Coturnix japonica: one gene and its partner. The protein of the gene in region 2 binds, or shares a complex with, the protein of the main gene of each other region. Links are inferred from orthologs where the notes say so. Each region holds a gene or a part of one and is shown on either strand. Other genes may lie near its edges. The genes, in order: RGS9BP and RGS9.

Region 1 (4,236 bases), on a different chromosome or scaffold from region 2:
GTGACTAGTGGTGGCCATCCTTAACAGTACATTCTCCTGCAGCTTTTGCTGTATTTTCTATAAATGTGTTTACTCAGTGTTATTGTGAAAGAGTTCTCAGCATTTAAATCAAAACACAGCTATTACACCTCATATATGTCTAGACAGACTGAAGCAGTAGCACCAATTAAAACAGGCTTGACTGTTTAAGAGTGCTGCTCAGGATCTATCCTAAGTTCAATATGTACAAAACACATCCTATGGAATGACTGAAACACAGTAGAAAGGAAGAGTCTTATACATCAGTTCCTATGTGAATCGTGTCTAGACTGGATCAATGTGCATTACTCACAGCTCAAGCCTTCACTTGGCATTCTTTTTCCTCACTAGATTCAAACTTGTACATGCTTTTTCTACCCAAATCCAGTTTTATTACACATTTAAAAGTCACCTGCTGCTGTTCTTAAAAGTTTTGTCCTCAACTCAAAAACTTATCACCTGTTCATATATGTTGGTAACATTCACTAACAAAGATAGATTGTTTTCTAGTAACTTCACCAGCCATATCTGATGATTACCTTTTGATATGTGTCCATAATAACTGGGGTGGCAGACTAATTATGTATTAAAACCCCCATGTAAATGGGTCTCTATAATTGCCCTGCAGAATGTCTCATACGCACTATAATGTATGTACTAAGCATTCCTGAATGAATGGTGTGTATTTACATGAACAGAAAGAATCTCCATAAATTACATAATAAAGAACATTAACACATGGGTCCTTTTACGAGACATAACAGAGCTTCTCTGCAAAGTCAGTGTCCCCTCAGTTCTACATTTCAACAGGCAAGTTTTAGGTAAACACTGGGAGTTTTCTGCTGCTCTTGCTTTTATCGTCCCAAACTGCAGGGTATCCAATTGGACCAGTTATGTGTCCAGTACTACAGACTTCCTCTTTCCCAAATGATTTCTCAGAAATGAATGAGACATGAAACAGATTTTTACTTTTATTTTTTTAGCTTTATCTGCATTTCTGCAAAGACCTCAGGAGTTTGCAGAAACGTGACTGACTGTCAAGAAGCCCAAATCTCTGCCCGTCGACATGAGAGACCATCTCTTTTGGGATGACTAGAAAGGTCTGCTTTCACCCTACATCGCTGCTGTTTGCCAAACTATTTCCAAAAATTATGTCATCTGCTGTTGGTGGATTCGCTGCTTCTCATCTCATGGTCAGCTCTGAAGTTCAGACAGATTGCATCGATAGAAAGAACCTGACCAGAGGCAAGGATCAGCCTTTCTCCAGGGGGAGACAAAATCACGGTAAATGTGGAAGTAAACCACAGGGCTTGCTAGTATTTTTCTGACTACGCAGCTCTACCTTTGCTCTCTCAGGGTGTGGAAAGCCATCCATTTGTGCAGTGCCAACCTCGGTATCTGGGTTCTGTGCAGCCCAGTCTAAAGCTACAAACTGTACTTGCTGAATACTGCTAGTTTGCTCTGCCCTCCTCCACACCTCCCTGATCATTAACGTTTATTAAAATAGATATTTACATGCTCTTACTGGTGTGTCCATCCTTTTTCCTCCACTTAAATAATATCTTGTGTATTGCTGGAAAAAAAAAAATCCCAATCCATTCTGTTTACTGTCACACAAAAACACCTGTGTTGGCCTCCAAATTTGTGTCAGTCAGAAATACTGTAAACAGTGAGCAGCAGCAAACTGCAGAGCCTAGTCAAGAACAAAAAATACAGGCTTCTCAGAGTGACAATCTATTAATAGCAGACAAATCGCTGTTATAGCCAGTAGTGATAATACCTTCAGTACCTCACAGTTAACCCTTACAAGTCCAGCTAACAAACACATCCTAGTTTGCAGGCTGATCTGCATCTTTTTCTTCAAAAAGCATGAAAGGAACTGTGCATTTCAGGATATTGAGAGGCAGATGTTTTTAGTTACATTTCCAAGTGCTAGGATTAGATACTCAGCGCACCCAGGTGACAAGAGACGTGTGGCACGAAGCACTTTTGGGCGGCCCTGTGAGAGCTCTCCAGTGCCAGCACAGTCTATGAGAGTTTTACCACACACACTGCCAGCACAATAGCAATAATGAGAACAGCGGAGAAAACAATCCCAGCCAGAACTTTGCTGATATCGCAGAAGGATTTATTTTCCTCCACAGAGATCATGCCAATGGAAGAAGCGCCCACGCTGATGGTGGATTTGAGTTCAGCCCCAGGGTCTTGCTTAGCCTCTACCGTCCACTGGGGGACATTGACCTTCATTTCCATCTCGTACATCATTTCTCCTACCTGGTTGATTTCGTTCTCTAGGTCCTTCAGATCCACCACGTCAATGTTGTGCTCGGCCTCGTACTTCATGTTCTGGACACTCATGGCCCGGGCAGCCACACCAGACGTACCCCCGCTCATGCCCGTCTGGATCAGGTGTTTTTTGGGGACGTTCAGCGGGAACTCGTGCCCCAGCTCCAGGGCTCTCCTCATGTCGATCTCCAGGATCTCTAGGCACGTGGAGAAAATCACCCATAGTCTCTCAAACTCGGCTTTGTCCTCCTTACTCACGGTTTTATCCCTCAGCACCGCGGTCAGCTTGTTCCTGTTGGCCACCGCCAGCTCCTGTGCTTTCTGCCGGGTCTTCTTCAACTCCTCGCGCAGGTTCTGCGAGTCCGAGGTGCCGCCGATGGTCAGCACCATGTGCCGGTAGCAGGCGGTCACCCTGCTGAGCGCGTCCAGCAGCGCCTTGCACTCCTCCTTCACCATGGTCCCGCCGTCCGGGCGCCTCCTCCGCGGTTACCTGGCCCCGGGATCGCGGAGCTGCCCAGCGCAGCCGCTCCCAGCGCTCATGGCGCGAGGCGGCCCCGTGTCGCGCCGCCCCGCGGTCCCTCAGGCGGCTCCGGCCGCTCCGGGCAGCATCGCTTCCCCCGCTACCGCCGGCGGGAGCCACGACCCGGGCGCGTCATCCCGCAGAGCGCCGGGCGTCCGCCGATGGGGCGCCGTACTTTGACAAGTGCCAAACACGGGACAAAGGCGAGCCCGAGAACTAAAGCTGAGGCTCTGCAGATCGGCAGCTCTCGCCGCCCGCTGTCAGCACCGACCCGATCCGGCGCAGCTGGGCGCCGCGCGGTCACATGGCGCCGAGCAGGGAGCGCCCGCGGCCTCCGGGCGCGGCCCGGGCCGGCCCTATAAGCCCTCGCAGGCTCCGCCCCTGGAGGCTCCGACCCCCGGCGGCCGCCCGCTTCCTCGTTCGCTTCCCGCCGCTGCCCGGCCATTGGCTTCGTGCGGCGCCGCACCGGCCCGCCCTGGATCCCGGTATGGCTCGGCTGCGGCGCGGGGCGGTTGGGGGGGCGGTGTCGGTGGGGCGAGCTGCTCTCACTCCTCTCTCACTCCTCCTCTTCCTCCCCCAGCCCGACGGTCGTTTTCCGCGGGGCCGCTCCCGGCGGTGCCCTCCCGGAGCGGCCGTGTCGCGGCCTGTGAGCCGTGCTGCGAGAGGGGAGGTGCCGGCCTTGGCCGCGGCCTGCTCCCGGGCTGGGGCTGCCTCGGAGCCGGTGTGGCCTGGGCCGGCTGTGCTCGGGGCGCTGTGCTGTGCTGCGCTCCCCGCCGCGTTGGCAGCTGCGGCTCCGGCGGTGTCCGGCCCTTGGCGCGGCGGCTCCCGGTGCCCGCGGTCCCGCTGCCACCTGCGGGTAGACCCGCTGCCACCTGCGCGGCGTGGGGAGCGCTGAATGCAGCGCTGAACTTTGTGTCACCCCGGTACGTGCATTATTTATACCAGAGGAGTGCACTCGGGTTCCTACCGGGCTGTGTGCTGCATGCTTTCTGTATATCGGTGTCACGAATACTTCAGCTTGTTTGTCGGGGGTGAGAATTTGTGTATTTTTCCTCCTTTTTTATGGATTGTTTATGAAGGCCCCTAGGAAGTGTGAATATGGGGCCTAGAATATCTAAGGGTAATTGAAATCAAGTAATCAGACATCAGAAGGTTTAGCAAACACAAGCTTCTTACTATCGAAAATGGTATGTTAGTGGCTGCCCTTGTGTGTGTTCTGAAATACGATGTGGTCAGTGAGGAGCTGTAGGCATGTTTGTACACACACCTGTGTCTTCCAGGATAGATAACACTGATGCTGAGCACTATGTAGCGGTCTGGGCTCTGTCTCTTAACACATGTTTCACCATAGCAGACTTCTGGAGAACTTGCTTGTCATGACGTGCACAGCTACTTATGCCTTAATGCTCCTG
Region 2 (4,577 bases):
CCCAGCATTTCCACACAAACAGCACTGGTATTTCCACTTTTGGATGGGAAGGACCCTAGCCCTATGAGATGCCTTGGTGATGAACTTCTTGTACCAAGGAGAACAGCACAGGGAAAGAGGAAGGGAATCACCTGCCCTTTGCCAGCACAGCCCCTGCCTGTGCGCTCAGGCTGCCTCATCCATTGGACAATACACACAGCATTAAAGAAGCCAAGAGGCTGACGGCTCAGCTCTGGTAATGTTCTGTACCCCATTTACATGGAGAGCAGGAGCCTACAGAGAAGCCAACTTCAACCATAACACAATTCCAGCACTAAGACATCTTTAAAAACAGACAGACAAGAAGCAACTGATGAATAGACTCAGATGGGAGAATTCAAGCCAAGATGGAGCTGGGCTGGGAAGCCCCAACAATGCTGTGGATCTGGTCTGTCTCTGGACATCAAGGAACTGAATAAGGAAGAGGCAGTGAAAAAGGCAAGCAGCATCCATCAGCCCAGCCCACGAGGTATGAGTCATGATGCAGCTCATGTAGCACAGCAGAGGAAAACACAGAGCCCACCGTGATAGAACACAGGCAAGAAAGTCTTTCTACCAACGCAGTTTAGGAAAAAACATAACAGTCAATCTAACTTCCTGAAGAAAGCCCTTCTCCTCCCTGGATCAATCAGAAGCTGCCTGCTGGAGAACCAGCACATGAAGACAAGTTACAGCTGCGTGGACACAGCAGGACCAGCAGCATCATGGAATTGCAGGAAACCACGCTGCTGGCACAGACCCACGGCTACAGCAGACATGTCAGCCCACGGCAAAGCCTAAGCACAGGCTTAAGCAATTAACAAAGCTTCTCCCTACGATTTTAGCTCCTTGAGGCTCTAAGCCTGCAAAGTGCTCACTGGATGCGTGCCGAGCATCTTCAGCTCCCCCATGGGACAACACTGAAGGACTCAGTATTTCAGGGGATGTGACCATCACCATGTACATGCTGTGTAACAGCTGAGGCTCTGTCCATGGCTTCCCCAAGGGCTGAAAAAGCAGAGGAGGAAGGAAAGCAGAGACAAGAGCCAAGGCCTGCTCACAGACCATCCGTGAGTGCCCTTTTACAGTGCCAACAGGTCTTGTACTCCCAAAGCACTGTAGCTATTCAGACCCTCTGCTTCTTGCAGGGTGAACTGTACATGCTCCATAAGCAGTGCTGTATTTTAAAAGACCTTCCCACCCGAGGAGCTCAGAGCACTTTGCAAAGACCGCTAACACCCACTGAACAGCAGAAGCACAGCTGTGGGAGGCTGTTTTCACAAAGCACGCAGCCTCTCCTCTCCACCTCTGCATGAAACCCCACAGAAGTATTACTCAGTGCAGAATGGCCCCATGTATTTCCACCGCAGGGCTCCCCTGCCAAGTGTATCTTGAAAAACACAGTATCAAGAAACGTATCATTCCTGCTTCCTTCCTTGTGAAAAGCACATCCAGACTCACACCTGAGCACTGAACAGCCTCTGATTTCCACACTTGTACCCCCGGACTCTTTGTGTCTCTATAGATCGTAGGCGTTGCAGGAGAGCTGACTCGAATAGCAACTGGCTGGTTGTGCTTGTCACTGGAAATTCAGCTAATTCCGCTCAGCAAGATAAGCCACAGGCAGGAGAGGTGGGTGGGTGGAAGAAAAGCTTAACATTCTGCTTTTTAAAATCTCTGCAGCTCTTGGTTGCACTAAAACCCAGTTCCGCTTCTGAATGAATGCTACAGGGAAAAGGGGAAAAAAGAACCCAACACTGAATACTTTACAACATTACGCATCACATCCAAAAGCGTAGGCACGGATCTTCCCACTCTTTCAACTGTTTGTGGTCACAAATACGCTCGTCTCTAAAAATGTGGAAAAAGGCAGGAAGCGAGAGCTGGTCATGACACATGCTCATAAAGCAGACAGCAGCTGGGTGGGTGGAAACGTACCGGGAGCAGAACGGGGCAGCCCGGTGTTGGAGATGAGTTTTCCCCTAGGAAATGGATGAGCTTTAAGGATTTGGGGGGGAAAGATTGGAGAGGGAAGGAAACCGTCCGTATAATTCAGCTAATAATAATAATAACAACATAAATAACTTTCAAATTACAGCTTTCTCCCCGTGATCTCAGCCCCGGTGCCAGGGGCTCCACGTGGCCACAAGGCACAGCCGGACAGAGCATTCCCGGGGGTAACAGATCCCAGCAGGATGCTCGGACGGCTGATACGGACAAGGGGACACCTAAGCTGAGCACCGCATCGCACGGCACCATCAACCCGGGTGCGATCTTGTACCCCAGGTGCTGACGCCCAGCTCGCACCCGGAGCTGCTCAACCCTCACCTTTTTCAGGAAGGCCATCCGCGGGCGGTAACGCTGCCCCTGGTCCAGCCGTGCGACGGTCATGGTGCTGCTGATGGAGCGGAAAGAGAGGCGGGCGAACGAGCAGATCGGCAGCTCCAACAGCTCACCTGGTTACAGCCCCCCACCACCAGCTCTCCCGTCTTCGCCGAGGGTGGCGCCTCCGCTGTGCGCCGCAGCCGATTAACATCCGCCGTTCCACGCACGGCGCCCACCTCGGGGCGCTACTGAGACGCTGGGAGCCGTATGGAGCACAGAGTGATGGTGGGGGATGATGGTGGTTGGGAGGAGGAGGCAGCAGCTGGCACAGCCCCCCACAACGCTGCTCGCTCATGGGGAGAAGAGAGGAGTCTTCCAGCGTGCAGCTGGTCCGTTGTGATGGAGCAATACAGAGGCAAGCAGGCTTCGGGCAGCTGCACCTGCAGCATCACCCGCCTGTCAAACAGCTGGATGGTTTTGGGAACTCAGCGTTTGTCATGGGGGAAATTATGATTAATGGTGACCAGAGGAACAGGGAAGGGTTGCAGGGTGCTTCCTCATGACAGAGCTGGCTCATGGCTGTGGGTTTGGGGAACCTGAGTGGTAGTGCTGGAAACCAAGAGCTTTGTGTCTCTGATCTCTTCGGAGAATGGTGGGATTTCCTCCTGCTGCCAAGGGTTGGCCAGACAACACAGGCAGGAGGAGAGTCCACCCAGCATGGCCAGTGCTCTCGTACACCCCCCAGACACATATGAATATCATGCAGGTGCATTTATACCCTGCACATTCACACGCAACACATCTGTTTCAAAGTCATGCATTTGCTGCTTCTTGGGGCACTGCCTTCCCCAGCACAGTGACTGCTACTGCTCTGACATTATAATCCATGGCTCACGGGCTGGAGGAAAACACTTTGGCTCTGAATACAGAGCACGGTTCTTTTCCATTCATACAATACCCTGAGGGTGTGGGCTGCTTTCCCAGTTGCTCTGCTGCCCTCATGGAAGGGTTTTATCTTTATCTCTGTTCTTTCAGACTAGCTGAACAAGCCAGTGCTTTGGAAAGGCCTTTCTTCTGTGTCTGCTTTCAGTCATTCCCATGTGAAATCCCCCTGTGAGTCACAGCAGCCACTGGATCGCAGGCACTTCTTACTTTCCAAAGGCTTTTCCACCGCTCTGTGCTGCTAGCTATAGCATAATGCCAATGAGTAACCTGTCATCCCACTGATAGCAAAGTTATCACACCTCATGCTTCAAGGCATCAGCTGACTGTCAGAAGAAGAAGTTCTTCATGCATTTGCAGTGTCTTGTAACTCCAGTGTTGTGTTGCTGTTTGGTTTCTCAAAACAAGCTCAGATCCTGGTGGCCTCCTGATACTGCCAAGGTGACAAACTGCAGCAGCACACAGTGTTCTGTAGGCAAACAGCAGGAGAGAGGGAATTAAAAGTGGGGTAAGGTGAGGTAAGGAAAATAACAGTGAAAACATGCAGGCATTTTGAAGGCGTTAAGTAAGAGAAGAGTTCCACCTTAGATTCCTCCTCAGCTCAGGTTTGGGTTGTTTTCAGTTTCCAGTCTTCTCCGACAAGCTAAAATAAAACCAAACATAAGCTCAACAGTGATTCTATTTAGGAATGACGCAAACCACCAAAGAGAGATCAGAGATGAACCGTGTTTCACCTGCTGCCCAGGTGAATTACCCCAGCAGTTAATGTGTTATGGCAGCTCGGCCACGTGAAGCACAAGGCACTTAAATCAGATTATACAGGTTCACAAAGGGCAGACAGTCCTGGGCTTCCAATGACAAAATCCTCATCCGTGAAGAGCAAACAGACTTTTTCCATCCCTGATACAATCTGGCAGATTTATAGGTGAATTTGTCAGCCAAAAAAGCAAAGGGGCTTGTGCAACAGGGCAGAGCAGCAGAGTGCCAGCACAAGCCATGCACACTCCTTGTCTTCCTGCTTATTTCCAGCTGCCCCTGCTAAATATTGATGTCCCCATGAAGTCCCCTTCAGTAATGTTCGCTCTCACCAGACACGTTCACAGTGAAGGTGACAATTCTTGTTGCTTTCTAATGCGGAAAGCACTGCAGGTGGAATCCCCCTCTTTTTTAAAGATGACATTTCCTAAGTGGTTGCCCCTTCTTCACACATCACAAGTTGAATCATGCGACACAAAAGGCGTGTGGTAACTACATTTCTAACTGAGGAAACCGGGGACAGCGGTGAGGGGAAG

Evidence for each region.
Region 1: RGS9 (region 2) and RGS9BP share a complex: the UniProt entries of both Homo sapiens proteins name them as parts of the RGS9-1-Gbeta5 complex. The link is inferred for Coturnix japonica from reciprocal best matches to the Homo sapiens genes RGS9 and RGS9BP.

The regions. Positions count from the first base shown.
Region 1 is NC_029526.1:8,554,509-8,558,744, reverse strand, and holds the start of RGS9BP (regulator of G-protein signaling 9-binding protein), read right to left. Parts: upstream 3,095-4,236; 5' UTR 2,761-3,094; coding exon 2,047-2,760; 3' UTR 1-2,046. Other genes in the region: ANKRD27 (ankyrin repeat domain-containing protein 27), read left to right, coding at 3,129-3,309. UniProt on the Homo sapiens protein: Regulator of G protein-coupled receptor (GPCR) signaling in phototransduction. Participates in the recovery phase of visual transduction via its interaction with RGS9-1 isoform.
Region 2 is NC_029533.1:6,496,258-6,500,834, reverse strand, and holds the start of RGS9 (regulator of G-protein signaling 9), read right to left. Parts: upstream 3,086-4,577; 5' UTR 2,410-3,085; coding exon 2,347-2,409; intron 1-2,346. UniProt on the Homo sapiens protein: Inhibits signal transduction by increasing the GTPase activity of G protein alpha subunits thereby driving them into their inactive GDP-bound form. Binds to GNAT1. Involved in phototransduction; key element in the recovery phase of visual transduction.